Linked DNA regions of Caenorhabditis elegans. The protein of the gene in region 2 interacts with the protein of the main gene of each other region in a pairwise test. Each region holds a gene or a part of one and is shown on either strand. Other genes may lie near its edges.

Region 1 (6,188 bases), 7.3 Mb from region 2:
GGTATTTTTTGAGTTTTCTTGTAAAAAACATGGAAAACATACAAAAATGTGATTTAGATGCGGAAAAAATATATTTTTTTTGCAATTAAATTGATGCAAAACTTCGAAAAAATGGCGAAAAATTTTAATAAAACCTTAAAATTCGTACATTTTAACGGTCTCACAGCTGCTGGAAATAGATTTTTATTTAAAAATCTCTTTGTTTCGCATATTTCTGCTGTTTTTGGTACATTTTTTGGATTCCGAACTAAATCTCACAAGAAATTGTTTTTCAACAGTAAAAATCCATTTTTCCGGAAATTTTCACGAAAATGGTTGGAAAATAATAGTTTTTCGACGATAAATTCAATTTTTCGAGAATTTTTCATGTTAAAACTCTCACAATAGAGGTATTTGCTGGATTTTCAGCTTTAGTTTCTCCTGATTCTCCGGTGAATCTTTTAGAAATCGACGCGGATGCATCACTGCCAGCAGGCTGCTCATTCTGCAATTTTATCGATTTTTTCTCAGTTTTCAGTGGATTTTTACCATCGCCTGCCGATATTGTCCAACTTGAGCGGCGAGTTGTTCTCCATACTGCTGAGCTGATTGTTTAAGCTTTCCGGCTTCATTATCCAGCCGGTTTTTCAGGTTTTTGAACATTTAAACCTGAAAAAATCGATTTTTTAGTGGGGAATTTGCAATAAAATCGAAAAAAAAAGTATTTTAAAGGTTAAAAACCATATTTTTAAGAAGAAAAAATCATGAAAAGTTGAAAAAAATTCATTTCAAAAAACAAAAACAGAAAAAATAACAAATTTTAATCAAATTAAGCCTGAGATCCGTTTGAGAGTTTTCTTTTCAATCCGTTTTCCTTCGATTTTCCCAGATTTTCACAAAGTTTGATAGTTTTCACGGACAAATCGATCATATCAACAGCGTTGGCAATGGATTTTGACAATGATTTCGGATCTTTTGATTCGATTTTTCTGAAAATTAACTTATTTATTTAGTTATTCGAATAGAAAAACTATTACATGACTACAAATTCGCCTTCGCTGCACACTTCCCGTCGAGCACCACTTCTTCTCGGCTCTTTATCGATTTTTATGACATCTGCCACGGTTCGAGCCGCTTCTTCTGTTCCGACGGATAATCGTACGCTTCTGGAATTAATCGGATTAGAAACTGCTGTTAGAACTTCAGAAAATGTTAATTTTGAAACAAAAACATTTAAAAAACAGTTTGTTTTTTGTGTTTTTTAGCGAAAAACTCACGCTGAGTGGATATATGCCGTGCTCGGAGAGCTTGGGTCACATTCGTCCTCTGAAGATGACGATGAGCTTGTGTCTACTTCCATTTTGTTGTTGTAATCACTAAAAAACACAATTTTGAAAGTTTCTGATGAAAAATCAATAAATTCGCTGAGAAAAGTGAATAATAAATGCTATTCCAGGCAAAATTGACATTTCAAAAACCGAAAAAGCCATAAAAAACGACGGAAAATATCAAAAATCCTGTTTTTCGCCTGAAAAACCGGTATTTTCCATGAATAATTGCCAACTCATGGTTAAAGGCGCGCGTGTCGATTTACGCAACGGGTCTCGCCACGGCGCAGGAATTTGAACTTTTTTCGAAATTTGCGAAGCTTGGCGCCCAATTTCTATTTATTTTAGACTGTTTCGCCATAGTTTTTCCGTATTTTTACGAAAAATAGCTGGAAAACATTTTTTGTGCGTTTAAAAGCATATTTTATACAGAAAAGACTAGTTTTAAAGGTAGGAAAGCCCTATTTTAAGCAGGGAAAGCGTTGGCGCGAAATTTCGAAATTCAAATCCCTGGCGCGAATTCTTTGAAGTATTGCTGCTAATTTTCAACTAAAGAGACCGCAGTATTCGTCTTTTTATCTCGCTTTAGCTTGAAGTCTCTTGAATTGTTTACCTGATATTTTTCATATTTCAGCTCTCCTTTCGCAATGAGCGATCAGAAGCCGGTAAGTGAATCTTTTCGAATGTTGCTCAACATGATTCACGGTATTTCAGAATATGGGGCGCATTGTCGCCAGCGTCGTGGATGTGCAGCAGTTGATGACAATGCAGTTTGACTCGCTTATCAAAAGCATGGACTCGTTGAAGGTATGCGATTCATGAAAAACTCAATTTAATACTTATTTTTCACAGATTGAGCACCAGACCGGCGTCACCCAGCTTCGCGATGATATTCGTCGATCCGAGGATCGGTTTCAGAAGCAGTTGTCCGATTTGAGCACTAATCACGGAAAAGAGCTCGAGAGACTTCATCAAATTATACACACTCTTCTTGCTCGTGATGCGAATCCTCTCGGCTCAATGATTCCTCCACAGCAGCTTCAGCAACAACAGCAAATGTTGATTCTTCAGCGACAAATGGAGATGGCTCATGTGCAGGCAGCACAAGCTCAAGCTCATGCTCACGCTCAAGCTCAAGCCCAAGCACAGGCCCAAAGCCAAGTTATGGCTAATTTGCTCAATGCTGCGAAGCCAGCTATTCCCGTTACACAGCCACTGGTCGCCACTACAGCACAAGCAAAATCGACAGTTCCAGCTTCTGGAGTTATTGCACCAAAGGTAACAAATTTTCGGGTTTTAGTTCCAGCAATTAAAAATTCAATATTTTTCAGACATCTCCACCAGAAGTTGTAATTCCACCTGCTAAGCCAACATTCTCTACTCCAACGCCTGCAGTTGTTCCAAAGCCAGCCACCACCGGATTCTCATTCGGCGGGACCAATCCAGCTACTTCAATCTTCGGTAAAAAGCCTGAAACTGCTTCCCCAGTCGTGGTTCCAGCAGCTAAAGATGATGAAGACGAAGAACATGATGAGGATTACGAGCCAGAGGGCGAGTTCAAGCCAGTCATTCCACTGCCAGATCTTGTCGAGGTGAAAACTGGAGAAGAAGGAGAGCAAACCATGTTCTGCAATCGTTCAAAACTCTACATTTATGCCAACGAGACGAAGGAATGGAAGGAGCGAGGAACCGGCGAGCTGAAGGTTCTCTACAACAAGGACAAGAAGTCGTGGAGAGTTGTTATGCGACGAGACCAGGTGACCATTTCGGAGGAGACACTCCCTTCAAATATTGAGAATGGAACCGAAGAATTGTGTTGGAATATTCAGGTTATTCCAATTACAGCTTTTTTCACATTTTTCGGCGTTTTCCTCAACAGAAAGATCTTAATTTAAATTTAAATACCTTAATTTAGCATTAAAATAAATTACAGGTTCTCAAAGTCTGTGCCAATTTCCCAATTCTCGGCTCGATGACCATTCAACAAATGAAATCCAACGAGAAGGCCTACACATGGTTCTGCGAGGACTTTTCCGAAGATCAGCCAGCTCACGTGAAGCTTTCCGCTCGTTTCGCTAACGTCGATATCGCTGGAGAGTTTAAGACTTTGTTCGAGAAGGCTGTCGCTGAGGCAAAATCATCGAGCAACGCTGGAAAGACCATCGACAAGGAAATCAAGCCGGCGGCTGAGGTGAAGAAGGAAGTCAAGCAAGAAGTTGTGATTCCATCAAACAACAAACCGGAAGAGACTGGATTTGGAGATCAGTTCAAGCCAAAACCAGGATCTTGGGAATGCCCTGGATGCTATGTTACTTGCAAAGCTGACGAGATTGAATGTGCCTGTTGTGGGACATCGAAAGACGGATCTGTCAAAGAGAAAAATATATTCTCTAAGTAAATATTCTATTTGAGTTATCTTAAAATTAAAAATTTAAATTTGCAGACCTTCGATCCTCCAGCCTGCCCCAGGAACTCCAAAAGTGACATTCGGATTCGGAGCATCTGCTCCAGCCAAGGAACCTCTTGCTCAAACATCTCAGTTCGGTGGATCACTCAGCGGATCTCCAAGCACTAGCAGTAGCATTTTCGGTGGTGGAACACCAAAGGGAACAAGCGTTTTCGGTGGAGGTGCTGCTAATACTCCAACTTTCTCATTCAACAAGCCAGCTGCCGCTGTCAATGCAACTACCCCATCGTTCAATTTCAACAATCCTGCAGCTTCAACTGCTTCTCCGGCAACCTCTACGACTCCAGGAAATTCATTGTTCGGAGGTGGACTCTCCAAGACTGAATCTACAGCTTCTTCAACTACTACTCCGTCGTTTATGTTCGCCAAGAATTCTGAAAGTGCCTTCCCAAAGCCAACTTTCTCATTCGGAAAGCAACAGACTCCATCAACGACTGCACCAGCTAAACAAGAAGAAAATAAACAGTCCGAGACGCCAAAATCCGTGTTCGGTAGTGGATTCACGTCTGGAGGTGCAACATTCGCTGCCCTTTCAGCCAACTCTGCCAAATCTGGCTCCATTTTCGACGCAGCAAATGTCAAGAAGGCCCAAGAAGAACTTGCTGCTCAGAAGAAGGCAAGCATTTTCGGGAGCAAGAACACCACGTTGAACACGACTTCTGCAACTTCACACGATGGTGATGAGACGAATGAGGATGGAGATGGGGAGTATGAGCCAGAAGTCGAGTTTAAGCCAGTTATTCCTCTTCCGGATTTGGTTGAGGTGAAAACTGGTGAAGAGGACGAGGAGGTCATGTTCTCCGCCAGATGCAAGCTTTATAAGTACTATTCGGATCTCAAGGAGAATAAGGAACGTGGACTCGGAGATATTAAGGTCAGATTTAGGATTTTATATCAAAATGAGCCAGCTTGGCATGTTCTTTTGATAGTTTTCATTAAAATTTAGTGATAAAACGTAGAAAATAACTTATTTCAGTTGAAACAGTTAAGAAAAGTGCTAGTTTTGCGCACTTTTCAACTGTTTTGCAAGTATTTTCTATGTTTTTTCACTAAATTTTAATGAAAACTATTAAGAAAACAACTGATTTTTGACTCATAGAGGCTAAATTTGAGAAAAATAATTTATTATTTCAGCTCCTGAAAAGCAATGACAACAAATATCGAATCGTGATGCGTCGTGAGCAAGTCCATAAGCTCTGTGCCAATTTCCGTATCGAAAAGTCGATGAAGCTCAGTCCGAAGCCAAACTTGCCAAATGTGCTCACATTTATGTGCCAGGTAGCAATTTTTAATTTCTTTTTATATAAAAATGTACTATAAATTCCTTATTTTTCAGGACTTCTCAGAAGACGCCTCCAACGCTGATCCAGCCATCTTCACCGCCAAATTCAAGGACGAGGCGACCGCCGGAGCATTCAAGACGGCTGTTCAGGATGCTCAATCGAAGATGTAATCCTCTGCTGATTATTTAAATTATTTTATTATTGTTATTCCTCCCCACCCAGCACTCTGTGTTAGTATTCCCCACCACCAATTTTATTTATGAACCTAGTTTTATTCATCCCCATCTGCTGTCATCTATAGTCCTTTAAGTGTAGTTTATATTTGTCTGGTAAGGTTTTTAAAAAAATAATTTCCTTATTTCCCCCCCATCTCTCTCAAAATCCCATTGTTCTCATAAGTACCCCCCACACACTATCATTCATAATTTTTGTCTTTAAAACTTAACTATATTGTTCACATTGTCCCGGCATCGATTTTTCCCCACTGGTGACAATCCAATAAATTGTGAATGCATTGAAGAATGAGATTTATTTTGAGGGCGGGAAACAAATAAATAGGGATTAGGAAAAAAAAGAAATAAATTATCGTTTTATTTGATCATCAAGATGGGTGATATCTGAGAAGACGAGAACTTTCGATGGAATTGTACGCTGTGGGCAGAGAATTGACATTGTTCGCTTCTCCAAATCAACCTGAAATTTGGATAAAATTGAAATTTCCGTTCGAGACCCAAAAACTCGACGAAATACCAACCTCCGTGACAAGACAAAATCCAAAAACCGGCGATTTCAGCACATTTTCGTCGGCTTTCGTGCTCCGCGAGAACGCGAACAAATGATGTTTAATGTCGGCACTGGGCTCCATGATAACCAGCTTTGTCTCATGATTTTCAACTTCCATTCCGAATGGTAGACATGAATCGGGCAGTTGCTCGGCTCCGATTTTACAAAGAGTGACGTCATCGAAGCTGACGTCAAATGTGAATGGGTAGAGATTGTTGGCACGGGTTCCGTAGAAATACTGCAAAAAAAAAGTTTTTTCTTAACAAGTTAGGCTTTAAAACACTGAAAAACCAAAAAAAAGAAAAAACCCGCAAGTGCGGTAGGGTTGCGGAAAAACCGTGTCAGACA
Region 2 (3,661 bases):
AATTCCCGCGTCTGGGTAAAACCCGTATAAAATCTAAAACGTTAAAAATTTCAGAACTATTTGACTGCTTACACCTACGAAATGCCAGCTGAAATTCGTGAACATGTGAATAGCATCAAAAACTGCGAGGACATTGCTATGAATTATTTAGTTTCTCATCTCACACGAAAACCGCCAATCAAAACGACTTCTCGATGGACGCTCAAGTAATTTCCAGATTTTAAATGAGTCTAATCTAATAATAATTTCAATTTTCAGATGTCCAACTTGCACGGAAAGCTTGTATAAAGAAGGGACACATTTCGAGAAACGCCACGAATGTATGCGATTGTTCACGAAAATCTACGGCTACAATCCTCTGAAATTCTCCCAATTCCGTGCTGACTCGATTCTTTTCAAGACGCGTCTCCCACAGAATCATCAAAAGTGCTTTAAATATGTGTAAAAAAATCCCCCTCTGCATTTGCTCACTTTCCCTATTGCCGGTATAATTCACTTGTCGAATGGTGCTACAATTTATTGCAACAAGTTGTTTAAAATTTTTTAGTCGAACATAAAATATAAAATAAATCATGGAGATTGAGAGTGATGAGCCAACCATTTCTTCAATTCATTCGCACAACGATCAAACAGCAAATGTACAATCCTTCTTCTACCCAAGCCAGCACTTTGAATTGTAGACACCGGTTGGGTATGCAAATTATTTTTAAGTTAAGAAATTAATTGGCATATGAAATGTATAAAATGGTAAATTTAGGTGGGATGGTTTTGTGAGATTTGAAAACAAGGATTTTGAAAGGTTAAAGTGTTTAAAGATCATCGTCGTCATCTGGAAGATCAGCCTTGGCGGCGTTGTCCAGATCCTTTTCGTATTCGGCAATCATGGCTGGGTCCATTTGAACCTGGAAATTAAAATATTGCTTATGAAAGAACATGGATTTAAAAATACCTCTGGAGGAGCCAAAGCTGGCATTGCGACAAACTCGAGGTTTGGATCTCCGAGCAGCTTTCTGGCGAGCCAGAGGAATGGCTTTTCGAAGTTATAGTTCGACTTTGCGGAGATGTCGTAGTATTGGAGGTTCTTCTTTCGGTGGAAGGTGATGGTCTTGGCCTTCACTTTACGGTCCTTGACGTCGACCTGAAATTTGTAATTGAATATATTGGCCAGTTTCAGCTAGTGATTACCTTATTTCCGCAGAGAACAATTGGAATGTTTTCACATACTCTGGCCAAATCGCGATGCCAGTTCGGGACATTCTTGTAGGTGACACGAGCGGTAACATCGAACATGATAATGGCGCATTGTCCTGGAAATTGGGCATTTCAGAAGTTATAATTTCGAATTTTAACATACCTTGGATGTAGTATCCGTCACGAAGACCACCAAATTTCTCCTGTCCGGCGGTGTCCCAAACGTTGAAACGAATTTGTCCGCGATTGGTGTGGAAGACAAGTGGGTGAACTTCGACTCCGAGAGTGGCTGAAAACAATTATTGAACTGGGAGAAACAAATTCCTGAATTACTTACCAACATACTTCTTCTCGAACTCTCCAGTCAAGTGACGTTTAACGAAGGTAGTCTTTCCGGTTCCTCCATCTCCGACAAGGACAAGCTTGAAAGTTGGGATGCCGTCTCCACCAGACATGACTGAAATGAGGAGATGAGGAGAATAAAATACGAAGGAAAAAGATTGTCAAGAGGAAAATAGCACGAAACTTTTCGAAAATGCGAATTATTGCGAAATTCTACGTATTACCGAAGCTTCAGTTGAAAATCACGAAGCGGTGGATAAATATTTCAAAAACAAGAATGTTCGGATAATGTGTATTTAGAATTGAGCAAAAAAGTTTTAGAAGAGACGTGAAGCTGAGCAGAGAGATTATCTCGTGATCAGAGCTTGCTCATGGAGCAAAATCAGAGAGAACTCGAAAATTACAGTGAACCAACTGAGGAAACAACGCAAATGCATCAAAATGAATGAAAAAACCGAAAAAAGATGACAAAACTTGGCGCCAGGGACAAGAAAAGTATTCGAAAATGGCGCAACAAGCCAGATTTGCGCGCCAAAATGAACAAAATTCGAAAATGTTTTTGCGTAGAACCCCGTGTGTGTTGAGGCATAGGGGCACACACGCAGCCTGTGTCTCTTTCGTCTGGCACACTGCCAATGGGGGTTTCTTCTCTCGTTTTTCAAAAAATCGATAGTTTTCTGGCAGGTTTTCTGCTTCTTGACACTTTCCACGAGCTTATGAGGCATATTTGGAGTTCATTAGAACCTTATTAATCTTTAAACTCTTGTTAATCGCTTCAGAACTGTTGGATTTTGTCAATAATGTTATTTTTTCAGCGAAGATCTCATCATGGGCAAGAAGGATAAGCGTTCCAAGCTTGAGGGAGACGATCTAGCTGTTAGTTTTTAATTTTCAAGCCATTTATTAAATATTGAGTACATTTTCATTATTTCAGGAGGCTCAACAGAAGGGATCATTCCAACTTCCATCCTCGAACGAAACCGCCAAGCTCGATGCTTCCCAGTGGCCACTTTTGCTCAAGGTAGTTGAGTGATCTCATTTAAAAATTAAATTATTATTTCAGAATTACGACAAATTGAATGTGCGCACCAATCACTACACACCACACGTCGAGGGAGTATCACCATTAAAGCGTGACATCAAGAACTACATTTCGTCTGGATTCTTCAATCTTGACAAACCATCGAACCCATCTTCTCACGAAGTCGTGTCCTGGATCAAGAGAATTCTTCGTTGCGAGAAGACCGGACACAGTGGAACACTCGATCCAAAAGTATCGGGATGTCTGATCGTTTGTATCGACCGTACCACTCGTTTGGCCAAGTCGCAGCAAGGAGCTGGAAAGGAATACATCTGCATCTTCAAGCTCCACGAGGAAGTTGAGGATGATCGCAAGGTGAAGCAAGCCCTCGAGAAGCTCACCGGAGCCCTCTTCCAACGCCCACCACTGATCTCAGCTGTCAAGCGTCAGCTTCGTATTCGTACCGTTTACGAGAACAAGTTCATCGAGTATGATCCAGCTCAACAGATGGGAATTTTCAAGTAAGAATCCTTATAATAAATCTAATTTCTAGTTTTCATTTAATTTCAGCTGCATCTGCGAGTCGGGAACCTACGTTCGTACAATTTGTGTGCATCTCGGTCTCATCCTCGGATGCGGAGGTCAAATGCAAGAGCTTCGCAGAAACAGATCCGGAATCTGCGATGAAAACGAGAATATGGTCACAATGCACGACGTTCTCGATGCTCAGTATCTCCTAGACACCCAGAAAGACGAGAGCTACATGAGACACATCGTTCGTCCACTTGAGGCTCTTCTCACCCAGCACAAGAGAGTTGTTGTCAAGGACAGTTGCATCAACGCGATCTGCTACGGAGCCAAGATCCTTATTCCCGGAATTCTTCGTTACGACGATGACATCGAGGTTGGCAAGGAGATCGTCATCATGTCGACGAAGGGAGAAGCCATCTGCATCGCTATTGCTCAGATGAACACATCAACGATCGCTTCAGTCGATCACGGAGTCGTTGCCAAGTCGAAGCGTGTCATTATGGAGCGTGATGTGTACGGAAGAAAGTGGGGACTTGGACCGGTTGCATCCAAGAAGAAGCAAATGGTCAAGGACGG
Region 3 (6,795 bases), on a different chromosome or scaffold from region 2:
GAGAGGGCGGATCGGTTGAAGACAGTGGCAAACCGCTTCGTGCTGTTGCGTGTCCTATTAAAGTGCGGCTGAATAATAGGTGTCCGTCGTCGTCGACTTCGGCGCCATTCGTCCGTCTGTCAGTCCGTCAAACTTCTCCGGCCGCAGCTTCTTCATTTTCGAGAAACTGACGAATGCAACTCGATTATCCGATTTACTACTGCGCAATAGTTTTCTGGCCAGAAAAAAAACAGTTTGAAGGACGGAAGAATAAGATGAAGCCGCTATTGTGATGAGAAAAGTAGAAAAAGTGACGTAAATTCACGATGGCAACTCGTATACGGAAGACTATACGGTAGGTGTCTTCAAGAAGTCAAGCGAAAAGTTAATTGTTGCTAAATTGGAACTTTTTTGCAATGTTCTAGACTATCAAAAAACAATTGTACGGTAAGTGTTTGTAAATCGGATGCTAATGCCAATTATGGCATTGTTTCCGTTTCGACCTGAATGTAGAAAAAACTGTAAATCAAAAGATTTCATTAAAGGAAAAACAGAAAAAAATCAACTTTCTACTGAAAGTAAAGACCCGATTGAGATATTGGGTGGTGGTAAAAGCGAGATGGTACAGTAGATGCATTCGGCATATGACATTTTTGTATGCATAAAATCAATCGAATCTAGATCATTCCGAAGCTAAAACAATTAAATTACAGACATTTAGGGATTATAAAATTTCGAGTTGCTTTATATCATTCCTGGGAAAAAGTCGTTGTACAATTTCGGGTAGAATTTCTTGAAGTTCATCAATTGTTTCTTCTTTTCTGTCAGCGACAATTCCTTGTTGTCGATAACTGACTGAAAGCAATAAAATTATTACAGGAACCAAACTATTCATAAACTCACATTGATCATGGTTACCAGTGCTGAGTCAGTCTCATTCAGTCCATCTTTACTTTTCGAAGTTTTTGAACGAATTGATTCTCTTCGAACTGTATATCTCACTGGTGTCAGGTCACCTTCAAGCGAATTGTGTCTGAAAAATTATGTTTAATTGCTAAAAAATACAATTTCAAACAGGAAAAAAAGGCATGCAAAACAGAGAGAAGCATTCCGAACAAAACAATATTAATTTGTGAATTACTATACTTTCTCTCTTTTCGTTGCCATTTAATTTGTCCATTTACTGACTTTGCTCGAAGAGAGCTTTCCAATTGTGCCGGGCGTTGACCTAGTTTTCCTTTTTGTCGCAGTTCAACGAGGGTCTGAAAAGATTAAAAATTCCAGATAATTAAAAATAGCCAAAATCTCTGTTTTTCAGGTTTTAAAATTTCTGTAACAAACCTCGATGAAAATGTCTTGTTGAACATTTGTCATACATCCTCTCGGGAAAATAAAAGAAGACAGCTCTCCAATTATGACATTCACATTCTCTTTGTATCTCCGTGGATCCTTTTTCCCCAAATAATATGGACTTCTAAGATCTTCCACTGCATCCGTTCGCATAGTAAGTTGTAGCCACTGCACAAGTTGGTCGATCGTCTTGCGTATAGGATGAGGAACCATCAAGAAGATGTACATGACTGCCGTCGACAATTTTTCACCAGAATCCATATCGTTAATCAACTGCTGGGCAATCTTTGTAAGAAGAGGAGCGAATTCTGATGGGAACAACGGTGATGATCCGTTCTGTGTCATCTTCTCAAGACGGTTTTTCACTGCATCCAATGCTGCTCGACACCAAAGGTATAATTGTTCGTTATGGCTTGTTTTATGATTACTTGCGACAGGTTTCGCCTCAAAATAAAGTAATGGAGCACAGCAACGAGCCATCTGAAACCATTGACTTGCATCCCGGATCAATGGATGTGTTTCGATTAACAAATCCATATGGTCTTCCTGGTGCGGGTCAAGCCTTTCTTCACTTGCACCCAGTCCAACTTTTCCCAGAATGGATGATAAAAATGATGCATTGTTCTGAAATGAAATTATGTAAGTTTATGATCAAATATTTGTATTTAATACCTTTGAATCTTGTACCGGAAGAGCAACATCTTCGAGAAACTCAACGTCAATCAAGCTGAGTAAATGGAAGAGAGACAATTCATAGACTTCCGCTTCTTCCTCTTTTATCAACTGTTGTTCTGCTTTTTTGAGTTTTTTCTCATTCTTTTCTGAAGAAGACGAGAACAGACTCCACGTCGATTTCAAATTTGTCGAGCTTCCATCTTTTAAATTATCTTTGTCTTTGTCCCGACCTCGAGAATTGGATCTATTCCGGCGAACGAATGGAGAAAATAATCTCTTGATACTGTTACTGCGACGGCTGCTTTCTGATCGCGAAACTGATGCAGAATCGTCATGATTTCTTGAAGCGATCGGAGTATTCACAATATATAATCTAAAAATAAAAACAAGTAATTTAATATCATTCGAGATAAAAAGTTTGCTCACGATTCAGAATCTCCTCCAAGCCTGTAAAATGTACGTTCAGAATCAACAAATTTCTTCTGATGAGATTCTACACTTTGAATAGTATTCGACTCTAACCAAATTTCAAGCAGTTTTACAGCGTTGCTTCTTCCGATATTGTCGCGTGGAAACTCGTTGCGATGTGTTTCGATATATGCTGTAAGAATATCTGCAGCTTCGGCTCCTGTGAAGTGTTCTTCAGATTTTCTGAGCACGGATATGCTTCTTTTGAAATATGATTGCATTTGTTCCATCGTGTCTTTTGCTTTGAACTGGGATCGTGCTTGAGGCTGACTATTGTTTTCCTTATCATCTGAAGAAAAAATATTGAAATTTTTTATACTGACTGAAACAAACCGTCACGAGCTGGTTCGATTTTCAACGCGCTTCGCTGTGGCTTCATTGGAGCTTCTTTTCGTAATATCCCTCTCGGAGGTTTAGGCGGCGGCGACGGTGTGTTTTCCAAAATTACTGAATGAACAACATCTTCGTCATATGGGATACTGAAGTGACGAGACGAACTCATTTTTGACCTGAGGACATGATGGACGTTTTTGTGGTTAAAAGCTGGTAAGACACATGCAAAGCACACGGGAAAATTGGACAAAGGTGCATTTTATTCGAAAAAGTAGTGAGAACAAATTTTAAAAGTAGAAAATTGCATTTTTTTTAAACTTCTTTCATGCAAAACTTAACATTTATTTGTGAGAAACCTTGAAATTCGTAACAAAAAAGAGCGCTATATTTAAATTCTTATTGATGCCGCGAAATAATTAGTCCGAAAGGGCGCGTTTGCTGCGCACTACTGTAGGCCGAAAATTATCCATAAAATACATAGCATAACATTGTTTTTAAACTAAGTTTGAAACAATTATAAAACTGAAAAATGGCTGAAATGGTATTGGAAATTGCAATAAAGACATTTATAAACGTTCTAAAGTTGTTTTCCGTCAAGTGTCCCACGGTGTTATAAAGGAAACAATCATAAAACGTTGCAATATTGATTCGTCATGGGACTATTCTGCTCAATAAATTGTTGTTCGTTCTTACATTTTCCCCGACACTCTGCAAGAATATTGTTTTGTCTAGAAGATTCTCACGCTCAAAAGTTTCAATGTCCATGTTCTGGTTATCAGCAAAAAGGAAAAGCGCGTTTCCATTTCGTTGAAACCGTCCATCGATCACTGATAAGACTTCATCAGCATAGTTTCCACTGTTCGACCCTCCTACACTTCTCACCTCATTTATTTTAATGTGTATTACGATTTTACATGTGTTTTTTAAAGTTTCTATGGCCACTGAAACCCTATTTTATGACTAGCCTTTTTTATCTAGAACTATTGACAGTAGTGGTTTTTGTCTGAAATAGTTTGCAGGAAGAGAGTAATTAAATATTTGAACCGTAAATGTAAGCTAATTTTCGTTGAACCAACTCCATTGAATTCTTTTAAATTCCCTGACGAATAATGTAACACAGACGCGAAATTTTGCGTCAAAAATACGGTTCCTGGTCTCGACACGACGAAGTTTTATTGAATGCAAGAAGATGTGCTCCTTTAAAGTACTTCAAACTTTCGTTGCTGCGGAATTTTCATCAATTTTAAGTTTTTTGCACGGTTTGTTAAAATGTATGTTTTTGATTGTTTTATTTTAGTTTTAAATAAATACATTTTTACCAAAAAATTCCAGACAAACGAGAGTTTGAAATTACAGTAATCTTTAAATACGCACACCTATTTTCACTTAACAAAAAGTGCCCTGTCAAGACCCGGTACCGTATTCTAATTATTTCACGATTATAACAGATCAGGCGTAGGTCATTCTTCCAGACGGGTTATAGATTTTTTGTCTTGTAAGCAGGCAAATATTTATATGCATATGTGGGATTACTCAGAACTAAATTTGAAGTTCCAATTTCAAAAGTAGTTACGGATTTTCTGTTTTAACAAAGTAATTTTATAGAGTTTTAAATGAATTTCTGCTAAACATTAAATAAAATTATTTTTCGATTGCATTCGAAACAATTGTATTCTTGGAATGATTTAGATATACCTTGATTGACAGCTGCTAACAGAATACAGTCGATATATGACGTGTCCAAGTTTACTTTGATTTTCCCAAACTGGTCGAGATGTCGATGAAATTTGCATTTTTTCGCTTTTCTAAATAAACAGACAGCCTTGACGTTGGCCGGCTACCGTAACACAATAATCTCACAAACTGACGACACTGGGGTTTTTTTGCTGACACACTCAATTTTTTTCAGTTTTCTTCCCAAAAGTCAACATATATATTCCTTTTTCCAACAGATAAACAAAACATAAAATGGCAATAGTTGAAAGAAATTCGAAAGATAGAGAAATTGCGGCAAGCGGCGTTGAAAAGATTACGGTGGCCAGGGAGACTGGCACGGACACAGCACAAAGGAGCACTTATTCATTTGAATAGTTTAGTTTGATAGACTATTGATTTTATATTTATCAAGGCGGAACTAACTGAAAATGGGTGTTTACCGCGTGTTTTTGTTTTCAGTTATTCAGCTGTAGTACGTTGATAGTTTTTGAATATCAAAATAGTTTATCTAAATAGTATCACAACTAAATACCAACTATAATTTAGTCAAGGAATTTGTGGTACAGATAATTTTTTTGAGAATTATAACGAACTATTTTATAAGCATTGTCTCATAATACAGAACCATATTGTAATAACTTAAAACTCTATGATAAAAATCACAGTCAGAAAAATTAATTGGTAAACGTAGAATTTTAATCAAGGTTACAACTATTGGGCCAAAACAGTATCACTATGAGACTTCAAAACAAGACGTAGTAGGTCATTCTAAAACTAAATTCGGACTAGGTCATCATAAAAAAATTTATCTCAACTCTGAACCCTTGACTTTCAATCTGAAAGTATTATTTCACTAGATTGGAGGCCGAAGGAATATTTCCAAAAGTGGATTTTCGTAAAAAAAAACATTTTTTAATGGTTTCAAAGTTGTCAAGAGGAAGGAAGCTTCTGGAAGCTTTTTGAAAATTATTTGTATTTGAAACATATCTGAATTTTTTTTCATCTAATTTTTTATATAGAAAATTTAGGGTTTTATAGTTGAGTTTCGCTGCTTGCTAGTTGGGAAAATATTAAAATTTTTATGGTGCTAATGACCGAATATCATTTCTGTTCAAAAAAAATTCATGGATTTTTACGATCTACGATCAAAAAGCGACACAAATCTAAATAGACTATAGACTATATCATAGACTAGATAGTTACACCAAAGAAATAGGAAAAATTGTAAGTTAACTGTTTTGCTAACAGTAAAATAACAAGTTGGCTTTGTACATAGATACAACAGAGTGGACTTAGGTATCTGAAAAATGGCGTTTTCAAAAATGTTTCAAGGTCGTGAACATGAGTGAATTAATATAAACTTCTCAAATTTTTCTAAGCTGTTCCAATATTCATAACCCGGTATATCCATATTGATCAGGATTGCCACGTCATAGAGCCCTCAAACATCGACTGACAGGATTTTCCGATGGCCCTTTCGGTCTGCACGCACCGCCTGTGTTTTGTCAACGAAATATCGGTCCCGTCGACGACGACAACTGGGTCTCATTCTCACTCTCTGCATAATGAATGATGGCCTCTCTCCTGCATCTTCTCTCACTCTCTGTTCAGGCGGGGAAACCCCGTGTACGAGGACACCCGCTCTCTTGTCCACTCGATTTACAATTACTCATTGGTTCGATGACCGTTCCCCGCTCGTTGTGCACTTTTGATCTTTGGTCGCTTACGTTTAATCCTTGAGAATTGATACTATTTTGTTTTTATTTGATATCAAAACATTTTCCGTTCAATTTATTACCACCTATTCAAGACACACACTCCTCATTCTCATATCACTGAATCTACTTGATCCTTTCCGTTTTCAACGTTCTATTCTCAAGGTTGTTTGGTCATCTAGCGTGGTCAGTGTTGTAAAGCGCAAAGTGTTATCTTTTCTGTAAATATCATTCCCAGCTGGCATTAAACCTTGGTTCATCGGAACAAGTTTATGAAAGTTTAGGAGAAGTGCAATACGGTAGGATTAATCCCGTTTTGAAGGCTTTTCAAAATTTCCAAGTTTTGCCAAGTATACTCATAATCAAAAAGTAACTATGCAAATGTATCGGTGTTTTTTTAAATCAAGTTTCGTTACTTTTTTTTGCAATTTCTTAGACGCTTTTCATACATCCATTACTAAACAATCTTTATGAAGCAGTATGTCATATCTAACAATGAAGTTAACGCAAAAATCCTCTTTTGTTCGAACTTTCAGATAATTACGGTCAACTCTCCAAT

The links.
Region 1: the proteins of ran-1 (region 2) and npp-9 interact in a two-hybrid assay, tested with the Caenorhabditis elegans proteins (3 studies listed by BioGRID).
Region 3: the proteins of ran-1 (region 2) and toe-2 interact in a two-hybrid assay, tested with the Caenorhabditis elegans proteins (2 studies listed by BioGRID).

Annotation. Positions count from the first base shown.
Region 1 is NC_003281.10:3,400,030-3,406,217, reverse strand, and holds npp-9 (Nuclear Pore complex Protein), read left to right. Parts: upstream 1-1,941; 5' UTR 1,942-1,954; coding exon 1,955-1,972; intron 1,973-2,021; coding exon 2,022-2,114; intron 2,115-2,159; coding exon 2,160-2,585; intron 2,586-2,638; coding exon 2,639-3,136; intron 3,137-3,240; coding exon 3,241-3,701; intron 3,702-3,750; coding exon 3,751-4,648; intron 4,649-4,908; coding exon 4,909-5,052; intron 5,053-5,110; coding exon 5,111-5,227; 3' UTR 5,228-5,574; downstream 5,575-6,188. Other genes in the region: golg-4 (GRIP domain-containing protein), read right to left, coding at 383-484, 529-642; F59A2.5 (L antigen family member 3), read right to left, coding at 809-968, 1,017-1,145, 1,257-1,339; Protein clpf-1, read right to left, coding at 5,640-5,750, 5,812-6,078.
Region 2 is NC_003281.10:10,746,081-10,749,741, forward strand, and holds ran-1 (GTP-binding nuclear protein ran-1), read right to left. Parts: upstream 1,649-3,661; 5' UTR 1,647-1,648; coding exon 1,529-1,646; intron 1,481-1,528; coding exon 1,355-1,480; intron 1,308-1,354; coding exon 1,186-1,307; intron 1,139-1,185; coding exon 950-1,138; intron 903-949; coding exon 810-902; 3' UTR 501-809; downstream 1-500. Other genes in the region: rib-2 (Exostosin-like-3 homolog), read left to right, coding at 55-206, 259-445; dkc-1 (Putative H/ACA ribonucleoprotein complex subunit 4), read left to right, coding at 2,362-2,409, 2,468-2,554, 2,597-3,075, 3,125-3,661. UniProt on the Caenorhabditis elegans protein: Ran GTPase system comprises ran-1, ran-2 and ran-3 and is essential in nucleocytoplasmic transport. Ran-1 is a GTP-binding protein that mediates the interaction between mitotic chromosomes and kinetochore microtubules.
Region 3 is NC_003280.10:6,516,688-6,523,482, forward strand, and holds toe-2 (Target of ERK kinase mpk-1), read right to left. Parts: upstream 4,689-6,795; 5' UTR 4,501-4,688; intron 2,982-4,500; 5' UTR 2,975-2,981; coding exon 2,806-2,974; intron 2,762-2,805; coding exon 2,431-2,761; intron 2,378-2,430; coding exon 2,002-2,377; intron 1,954-2,001; coding exon 1,321-1,953; intron 1,242-1,320; coding exon 1,126-1,241; intron 1,013-1,125; coding exon 883-1,012; intron 835-882; coding exon 724-834; 3' UTR 501-723; downstream 1-500. Other genes in the region: C56E6.7 (uncharacterized protein), read left to right, coding at 1-170.